Linked DNA regions of Arabidopsis thaliana. The protein of the gene in region 1 interacts with the protein of each later gene in a biochemical or structural test. Each region holds a gene or a part of one and is shown on either strand. Other genes may lie near its edges. The genes, in order: WDR5a and BZIP28.

What was found.
Region 2: the proteins of WDR5a (region 1) and BZIP28 form a complex in vitro, tested with the Arabidopsis thaliana proteins (one study listed by BioGRID).

The regions. Positions count from the first base shown.
Region 1 is NC_003074.8:18,411,556-18,416,307, reverse strand, and holds WDR5a (Transducin/WD40 repeat-like superfamily protein), read right to left. Parts: upstream 2,745-4,752; 5' UTR 2,619-2,744; coding exon 1,953-2,618; intron 1,373-1,952; coding exon 1,085-1,372; 3' UTR 595-1,084; downstream 1-594. UniProt on the Arabidopsis thaliana protein: Forms multiple COMPASS-like complexes involved in histone methylation by interacting with different histone H3 'Lys-4' methyltransferases such as ATX1, SDG14 or SDG16.
Region 2 is NC_003074.8:3,377,179-3,382,124, forward strand, and holds BZIP28 (Basic-leucine zipper (bZIP) transcription factor family protein), read left to right. Parts: upstream 1-1,989; 5' UTR 1,990-2,147; coding exon 2,148-3,723; intron 3,724-3,800; coding exon 3,801-4,252; 3' UTR 4,253-4,443; downstream 4,444-4,946. Other genes in the region: AT3G10790 (F-box associated ubiquitination effector family protein), read left to right, coding at 232-1,191; AT3G10810 (zinc finger (C3HC4-type RING finger) family protein), read right to left, coding at 4,670-4,743, 4,841-4,946.

The DNA.
Region 1 (4,752 bases):
AGAATTGGTAAGCACGTGTTAGGAAATGTATACTTTTTTGGGGAAAATGTCGAAGATATACTTTTGGATGGGTGTGTGTGTATTGCAGATTCGTTTGTTGAAGCTTGATTTCGTATTTGGTACCAAATCGAATATATTTAACCTGACTAATAGATTATTATGATAGCACTAAACCTAACAATTATTGTTTGCTACTACAATCATAAAGAATTCAATTTATACTCTTTTTGAGAGTTTTTATGTTTAATCTTATTAGCATATCTCGAGAACTTTTACACAAAAGAACCAAAGCTGAATTTTGGTCTTTGTATCAATTGGGAGAGACACAAACATGACTGAGTCTTTAGGAACTGTTGCTTTCTCTTGAATCATGTAAACAGAAAGACACGCTGTAAAAGCAAACAGCCCACTGGTGTGTAGCTAAAAGACAGAACAAAGGTCACAAAGTCATCTTTTTGTTAAAAAATTTTGGTTTCGAAATTGAAAACAAAAAAAGAGAGAGTGGGTTCAAATTTTCAAGTGGTCCATTTCAAAATCTTGTAGGGTTTAAAAAAAAGAAGACTTTACGATAAAAGTGAAAATGAAAAGTAAAAAATGGGACAGGACCAGGGGACCATAAGCTTCATCATCATGGCCAACCAAAGTAACCAACTACCATACATTATCTACTTATAGTCATATATCTGTACTTTGACCCATGAGCCACCCATCAATATGGTTCAGATGAACAATTTTCAATCCTGAAACTACTTTATAACCAATAGTATTGGTGAAGCATTGCATCAGCTTAATAGATACAATGAGTAAAGGGTAAACCTATGAAGATTTGTGTTCATTCTCTCAAATGCCTTTGCACTTGCAGGAGTCTTTGCCTTAAGACCTACCTAAATAGTTCTGAGTCACACAGAGAACTATTACAAGTTTAGAACAGTCTGTTGCACTTCCCTTACACCAAACAAAAATTAGACTTTTACATAATGAGGCTAGAATCAATCTAACAAGCTTAGTAAGCAACAGATGATTACTGCATGAAGAAGGTGGCATGTACCTACATGTTTGATTTCTGAAGAGAGAGAGTGATGATTTATTCTTTCTTCTGTGTCCAAATCCTTACTGTCTTGTCGAGCGAGCCTGATGCGATCAAGTTCTCTGTCGGGTGGCATGCTACGTTCATGACGGTCTCAGTATGACCCTCAAGTTTCTGTAGCAGTTTCTTGGAGTTTAGCTCCCACATGTGTACACAGTTGTCCTCGGATCCACTGACTATTCGCTTTCCATTTGTGACGGAGAACGCAGAGGAAATGCAATACTGTGCGTTCACGTGGCCAGTGTATGTTTTGAGGAACTTAGCAGACGAAATGTTCCACAACCTCTGCAAATTTATAACGAATCATGAGAATTCCTTTATTCAACAATACCCTATAGACGCAAACACCAAAAGAAGATGTATCTTACAACCCTCTAAATACGACCCTTCAAAAGTGTTGAATCTCGATCAATAACAGAACTGTTCCAAAGCTATCAACTTTTCCTTAACTAGATAACAATTTTTGCAAAAATAGCTTTGGATTGGCTTCTCCTACATCAAACTTCTATTAACACACAACCTAGAATCTAAGTTCATGGAGAGATGAGTGCATTAATAACGAATCATAAGAATTTAATTTCCTAATGCAAATTAATCAAACTCCAAACGACGATGTATCTTCGAAGCTACAACCCTCTAGATACGACCCTTCGAAACTCTTGAATATCAACCAACAACAGAACTATACTTAAAGCTAACAACTTCTCTGTAAACTTAGTTTTGAATTGGCTTCTCCTACATCAAACTTCTACTAACACACTCTACCCAAAATCTTCATGCTTTTTTTCGAGATCACTATAGAGCAAAACTAGTAATCACACTAAAAACATCAAATCTTTGAAAGGAATTCAACAAGTGAACTCACCAGCGTGTTATCAAGTGTACCAACGAGGATAAACTTGCCATTAGGAGAGAATCTAACAAACGAAACAGGAGGATTCTCATCATCAATCAGAGTTTTCACACAATGACCAGTCCCAGAATCCCATATACGACACAACCCATCATAGCTACTCGAAACAATGAGAGACCCATCTCTATTAAAATCAACAGCAGTAACAGGATCAGAATGCGCGGGAAGAACTTTCAAACACTTTCCAGTAGTGACATCCCAGATCCGAACAGTTTCATCAAACGAACCAGATACAATCATATTTGATTGAGGATTGAAATTGACACAGAAGGCGTAATTAGTGTGTCCAATAAGCGTCTTGATCAATGAACCAGTTTCAACGTCCCATAGCTTTAAGGTTTTGTCATCGGAAGCTGAGACTATAAACCTCGCGTCTGAAGAGAATGCAACATCGGAGATACCGTTTTCATGGCCGGTGAATTCTTGTACGGGCTCGGCGATTGGATCGTTAATGGTGTTGATTGTGTAAGTGCGGATTGTTTTGTCGGCGGAGGCGGATGCGAGGAGACGTCCATCGGAGGAGAATTTCACGGAGGAGACGGCGCGATTGTGAGATGTTAGAGTTTGTGAATGGACGTATGGAGTGAATGATGCTGTTGCTGGAATTTCCTCTGCCATGGAAATTGGTTAGCGGAATTTGAATTTGGCTGATTTTAGGGTTTTGGGAAAGGAGGCTTTGTCTAACTAAAGGAGAGAGACGACGATCCAGTGTTCTTGGAAAAACCCCGACTCTTTTAAATAAATTGTGGGGTGTGTTTTGAATGAAATAATACTATTGGGGTGTATTTAGAGTTTTCGTAAATTATATAGTTTCACGAGCGACTCACGTGCTCGCTTTCCAAGCTCAAACCTTCAGAATGATACAGAGTCTTTTGGAATGTCTTAAAATTTTAGTTCTTTCTTGCTTCGCAAATTAAATCAACAACACTCTTCATATATTGACTACCACAGTTTTAACCTAAGACTCTTTAGTTATCATGTAAGTTTGGTATGCCGTAACAATCATGGACTAGATTTTAACCCTCGGTATACCAGGGGATGATTTATTTTTTAAAAGTAATATATATTAAAATTTGCAAATTTTATTTTTATAAAATATTTATATTTTACAGTTTATAATTGTTATTAAGTAACACTATACCACGAATCCATGAGACAATTGTTAAAAAACTGAAGTTTTAACCCCTATTAAAACAACATATTAATAATATTTTAAAATTTTATAAATATTAATTCAAATACATCCACCATATAACCCAATTCCAAAATAAAACCCGTTATGTAATTTCTTTACCCGTTCCGTGATTTTTTTTTAAAGTAGTAATTTTTAAAATTTAAGAATTATTTATTCTATATAAAAGTTTTGCAAATTGTATCATTCTCTAATACATTTATATTTTATAGTTTAAGTTTATATATAGTAACATTATACATACCACATAACATTTTTGGTTTTATATAATTTTTTCTAAATTAGGATGATTTGATATGTTTAATATTAGTGGTCTTAAAAAATAATAAATTAAAGATTTAACCCGTATTGAAATGGTGGATTAATTATATTTTACTTTTTTTATTAATGTTGATTCAAAAACCCGTCCCTCCAAATCCGTCTTGCCAAAAAGCCATTTATTTTATTAATAGTAATTTTATTTATGATATGACTCTGAATTATAATCTAAACATTTTAGCTAATAACATAGGAGTATACCATATTTATTTAATAGGTGAATGTACCATATGACCCGAATGCACTTTTACCCAAATCCACCAAAAAAGTCTTGCAAAAATACTATAGACCTGAATGTACCATATTTTTTTTTGTGCTAATTTTTATGTGATTAAGATTTACTTTATTTCGTATATAAAATATTAAATTGTTTTACGAACTTAATTGTTTATAATTTGGTAATAGATAGATATTTGAATATTCAGTATATTTTGCTTTAGTTAGAAAATCTTTGATGACCCGTCTTTAAATCCAATAAGCCTATAATTAAGAGATGAATATTGTCGTTAAATGATTTTGGTAATCTTAATGTGTTATTAAAAGATTTTGTTTTTGATTAAATTTTTCTAATGGCATTGTCATGTAATTAATTACAAAAATTAAGGTTACATTTAAAATGTACTTCCCAAATAATATAGTAGGATACATCATACATATTTAATGAGTTTCAATCTTGTACTTGTGACGTTAAATTGATATTTTGGGAGTGTTATTGGTTTGTGATTTAATTTGAGTTTTATTAACTTAAAATATTATGTAAAATTTGTTGTTATCAAATTAATATTTTTAAAAGTTTGTTAAAGTTTGGTACTATTAGTTTAAAATTTGTAAAAAAAAATTTAAAATCTTCATAAATTTGGAGTTATTGGATTCATACTTTTATAAAGTCATTAAAAGTTTTGTGTTATTCAATTAAAACAAAAGAATCAATGATTGTTTAATAAATTAAATTATTGTGTTATTAGTATATAACTTTCTATATTTTTCTTCTTAAAATAAAGTCATGAAAGTATCATCAAAATAATGATATTATTTGGAAAATTTTACAAAATTGTGAGAAAATAATCAATAAGAATTAAACAACTTTCTAGCAATAGTTTAAATTAATCTTTCATTTATTTACTTTTTATAATATTATTAAGGTCATGAAAATTTCTTTAGGAACCAATAACATCTCTTTAGTATTTATTATAGACTAAACAAATCACTAACAACTAACAAGACCACTACCACCACCACCAC
Region 2 (4,946 bases), about 15 Mb from region 1:
AAACTAAAATTTATGTTTTTTTTTTTGGTAAGCCAAGGGAGACAATGTCTCCCAAGATTTATGTTAGTCATACTTTCTACGTGATTATCTAATAAATCTCGTTTATCTAAACCTGTCCACACGTTGACAACGGTTTATCATCAAATCTCCAAACCTCTAAAAACATTGGGGGTTCGGAGTTAAAAAAAAAGCAAGAAAAAAGAGAGATAGTGAGCGTAAGTGAAAACAGCCATGGAAGAGGTAAAGGGGAAAAGAACCATCAGTAACACTTGGAAACTTGTTACAAGGTCCCAAACTGACCCCTTTGAAGGAATGCCTCTGCATCTGAAAGAGAAGATTCTCATGAAATTGAAGGCCAAAATCATATCGACGTTCATCCTCCTTTCCAAGTCCTGGTCATCGATAGTCCTTAACAAAGATTTCACCAACATGTATTTGATAATAAAGTTCTTTGAATCTTTGAATCGACCACGTCTTCTTTTGGCAGTCGACGATCGAGAAATAAATATGCAGTTCTTCCACTCTTGCTCTCGAGAGGATCCATCTTCTGATCATCAAACGGTTGGCTGTTACCCTGATTCGTATCCGCGTATCTGGTATGACTTTTCTCCACCTGTTCGTGGCTTGATCTGCTGTCTAAACAATTCTACTAAAGTGGTAATTGGAAATCCTACTACTTGTCAATTTGAAACTTTACCGAGAGTCAGAACCAAAATATACCAAGAAATATTTCCCTTCTTTGGATACGATCATGTTAAGGATGAATACAAAGTCTTGTGCATGACGATATCGGATGAGTACTATAGTAGATCAGGAAATATTGTGTCCAAGGAGCATAAAGTTTTCACTCTAGGATGTAAACAGAAGAAATGGAGAATGATCGAATGTACGATTAATCATTATCTTACTCCTGGAACTCAAGGAATATTTAGCAATGGGGTTATCTATTACTTCGCTAGGGTCAATGATGATCAGTCGCTAATGTGCTTTGTTGTGGGGTCTGAAAAGTTTAGTGTCGTTGAGTTACCGAGGCCGGCCGTCGAAGTTCTAGCGAACTACGGCGAAAAGATAGCTGTAACGAATTTGTTATATGCTAGTAATGATAGACTTTTTGTATGGATTCTAGAAGATGCCAGCAAACAAGAATGGTCAAACTTTTGTGTCTTGGTTCCTTCTTGGGTAGATATATAGATTTCGACCATTCAGCTTCACGGGTATACTTGGAACCGGCGAGCTTATATTTACACCGGGCTTAAAGCGTGGCCCCTTCTATTTACTGTGTTACGATCTCAAGGAACACACAGCTAGAAAAATCTGCTTCAAAAGAATTGGTTATTATACTTCTTTGAAAGTCTTTTTGGATCATGTAGAGAATCCTATGGTTCTGCCAAAGATAAGGCAATCGGTTGGTGATGAGTTCTTTGGTGTTGCATGAACTAATCTCTCTTCTTTCTTTTCTTATTTTTCAAGTTTCAATTAAGTGGTCGGATATTATTTGTTTAAGACTAGTTCTTATTGGATTTGATGGTCACCCATTGGTTAGTCTTTTGATCAATGGATATTTATGTCTGTGGAATATTGTAATGCAATGTTTTTTTTCTCAACATCTTTGGAATGCAATGTTTATGACTTAACAAGAAAAATGTTTATGACTTGATTATAATAATCTCTGGTTTTGTGCGGAGCTTATACAGCTTCGGTTTTCTTCTTATTTGATTTCTTTTGGGGAGAACAAAGAGTTTTGTGTTTGGCTAGATGGATCTTTATCATCATTTTGGTCGCCTTTTGAATTTTATTTCATAAAGAAATCTTATGTATAAGAAAATAAAACTAATATCGATTCTGAAATAGCAAAAATACCTCAATATTTTCACTAAATCATAAAACGAACTACATTCATCATACAACACATTGTAACATTTCACCATTAATTTCTTAACCCAAGCAACAAGCCAATAAGTAGATAGTTTTTGTTTGACTAAACATACACACGTGTTCGGAGTTTGATGTACACGCGCTGACTGCGCGTGGATGTAATATAATCTTAATTCTTAAGTATATTCGTCGACGTTGCCTTGTTCCAAAGTTATAAACCGTGTGGAACCATCGAGAAGCGAAGCCAGAATAAATTTTCGAATCCTCCGACGATGACGGAATCAACATCCGTGGTTGCTCCTCCGCCGGAGATACCTAATCTGAACCCTAGCATGTTTTCTGAGTCCGATTTGTTTTCTATTCCGCCGCTAGATCCTCTTTTCCTATCTGATTCTGATCCGATTTCAATGGATGCGCCAATCTCCGATCTCGACTTCTTACTCGACGATGAGAACGGAGATTTCGCTGATTTTGATTTCTCGTTTGATAATTCTGATGATTTCTTCGATTTCGATTTATCGGAGCCCGCGGTGGTGATCCCTGAGGAGATCGGTAACAATCGTTCGAATTTGGACTCATCGGAAAACAGAAGCGGCGATGGAGGTTTAGAAGGAAGATCTGAGTCTGTTCATTCACAGGTTTCATCTCAAGGCTCCAAGACTTTTGTGTCCGACACCGTTGACGCATCATCCTCCCCTGAATCAAGCAATCACCAGAAATCTTCTGTTAGCAAGAGGAAGAAGGAAAATGGAGACTCCAGTGGCGAATTAAGGAGCTGCAAGTACCAAAAGTCCGATGATAAATCAGTCGCTACGAACAACGAAGGTGATGATGACGACGACAAGAGGAAGTTGATAAGGCAGATTAGGAACCGTGAAAGTGCTCAGCTTTCGAGGTTGAGGAAGAAGCAACAAACTGAGGAGCTTGAAAGAAAAGTGAAGAGTATGAATGCTACCATTGCTGAATTGAATGGTAAGATTGCTTATGTTATGGCTGAGAATGTCGCTTTAAGGCAACAAATGGCTGTTGCTTCTGGTGCTCCTCCTATGAATCCTTATATGGCTGCCCCGCCTTTACCGTATCAATGGATGCCGTATCCGCCGTATCCTGTTAGGGGATATGGATCACAGACACCTTTGGTTCCCATTCCTAAGTTAAATCCTAAGCCTGTCTCGAGTTGTAGACCGAAGAAGGCAGAGAGTAAGAAGAATGAGGGTAAAAGTAAGCTCAAGAAGGTTGCTAGTATTAGTTTTATTGGAATTCTCTTCTTTGTCTTCTTGTTTGGTACATTGGTTCCTTTTATGAATGTAAATTTTGGAGGAGAACGTGGAAGCTTTGGCGGTTTGTCTAAATATGATGGCCACCGGTATTACGATGAACATAAGGGGAGGGTTTTAATGGTCGGCGATGGTTCTGATGTTAGAAGAAATAGTGGAATTTCTGAAGGAAATATCCATTCTAGTAGGATTAGTCATGGTGAGAGAGATAGTTGTGGAGGAGTAGATTATAATGCTCATCCGAAAGTAGAAGGACGACCAAGTTCGTTGAGCAATGCCAGTGATCCTCTCTTTGCTTCTCTCTATGTCCCAAGAAACGATGGGCTTGTGAAGATCGATGGGAACTTGATAATTCACTCTGTTTTGGCGAGCGAGAAAGCAAGGGGTTTAGGAAAGAAGAATATCACTGAAACAGTAAAAACTAAAGAACCGGATTTGACCATTCCTGGTGCACTGTCTTCTGCATTAGCTGTTCCGGGGGTAAGAGGAAATGCAGCAATGCTTCCGCATTCAACAGCTCTCTCTTCTGAAGGGAAAAGACTTCACCAATGGTTTCATGAAGGTGGCTCAGGTAATTCTTGTTCTCTATGTAGTTTCTACTAAATGGAGTGATCTGGATTTTCAACTCTACATTGCATTCTCTTGCAGGGCCACTAATGGATTACAGCATGTGCACCGAGGTTTTCCAGTTTGATATTGCTCCTGGTGCTATAGTCCCGTCATCAGTCTCCAGCATTTCTGCGGAGCATCTCCAAAATGTCACTACCCACGGCAAGAGAATGAAGAACAGGAGAATCCTTGAGGGACTTCCTGTTTCACTTGTGGCGTCAGAGCTCAATATCACCGGAACCCAGCCAAACAAAGACGCTCAAAATAAGACCTTTAATGGAAACACTAACAAACCCACATCATCATCCTCCATGGTTGTCTCAGTGTTACTTGATCCAAGAGAGGTCGTTGACTCTGAAACCGACAGAGTGGTTCCCCCAAACCCAAAATCACTTTCCCGGATCTTTGTGGTGGTGCTTCTTGACAGTGTCAAGTACGTTACCTACTCATGCGTTCTTCCTCGATCGGGTCTCCATCTCGTAGCCACCTGATTTGAGCTACTCAGATCTTGACCTTAAGTAGGCGAACATTGACTTGTTTATACATACAGACCTTGTTGACTTTTTTTCCCTGTGTTGTATAACTCTTATGTTCTAAGGTTTTGGATTTTAATTTTGAGATAAGCATAAAGTGGAATCCTTGTTTTAAAGGCATTTCCAATAGCTTTAGGCTGTATAATACATCCGATGGTTGCAGAACTTTTCTAATTTAGAAGATATAATATACAAAAGAAGCTCTTAGAGCATATATATTCAATTGGGACTTAAGTAGAAGGCTGCACCCTTTTGTGCAGCATCATTCTATAACAACTCTTCCGGTTCTGTATCTAGTTTCCATATGAATTCATTTTATACATTTAAAAGTTTTGAGTACTCTGTCGATACAGTTTACTAGACATGTTAATGTCGTTATTCATGAAGCCAGGCCACTATCAGCATGAGAAGGACAATCCATGGCATAGCTGGTAAAACCTCAATCGCTGCTGCCAAACACAGAAAGAAGAAGGCATTTGATTAGAATTGGGAGTCTATGATTTGATATATCTTTGCTAAATTGGAAGACTTTAAGTAGCAACTTACATGAAGAGGACTGCGGTTGAGGATGAGCAACTTCGTTTGCATGTGGTTCCCGTGGTTCCGTTATGGGTGGTTGAGCTGCATGGGCAAACACCACATGTGGTAGAGG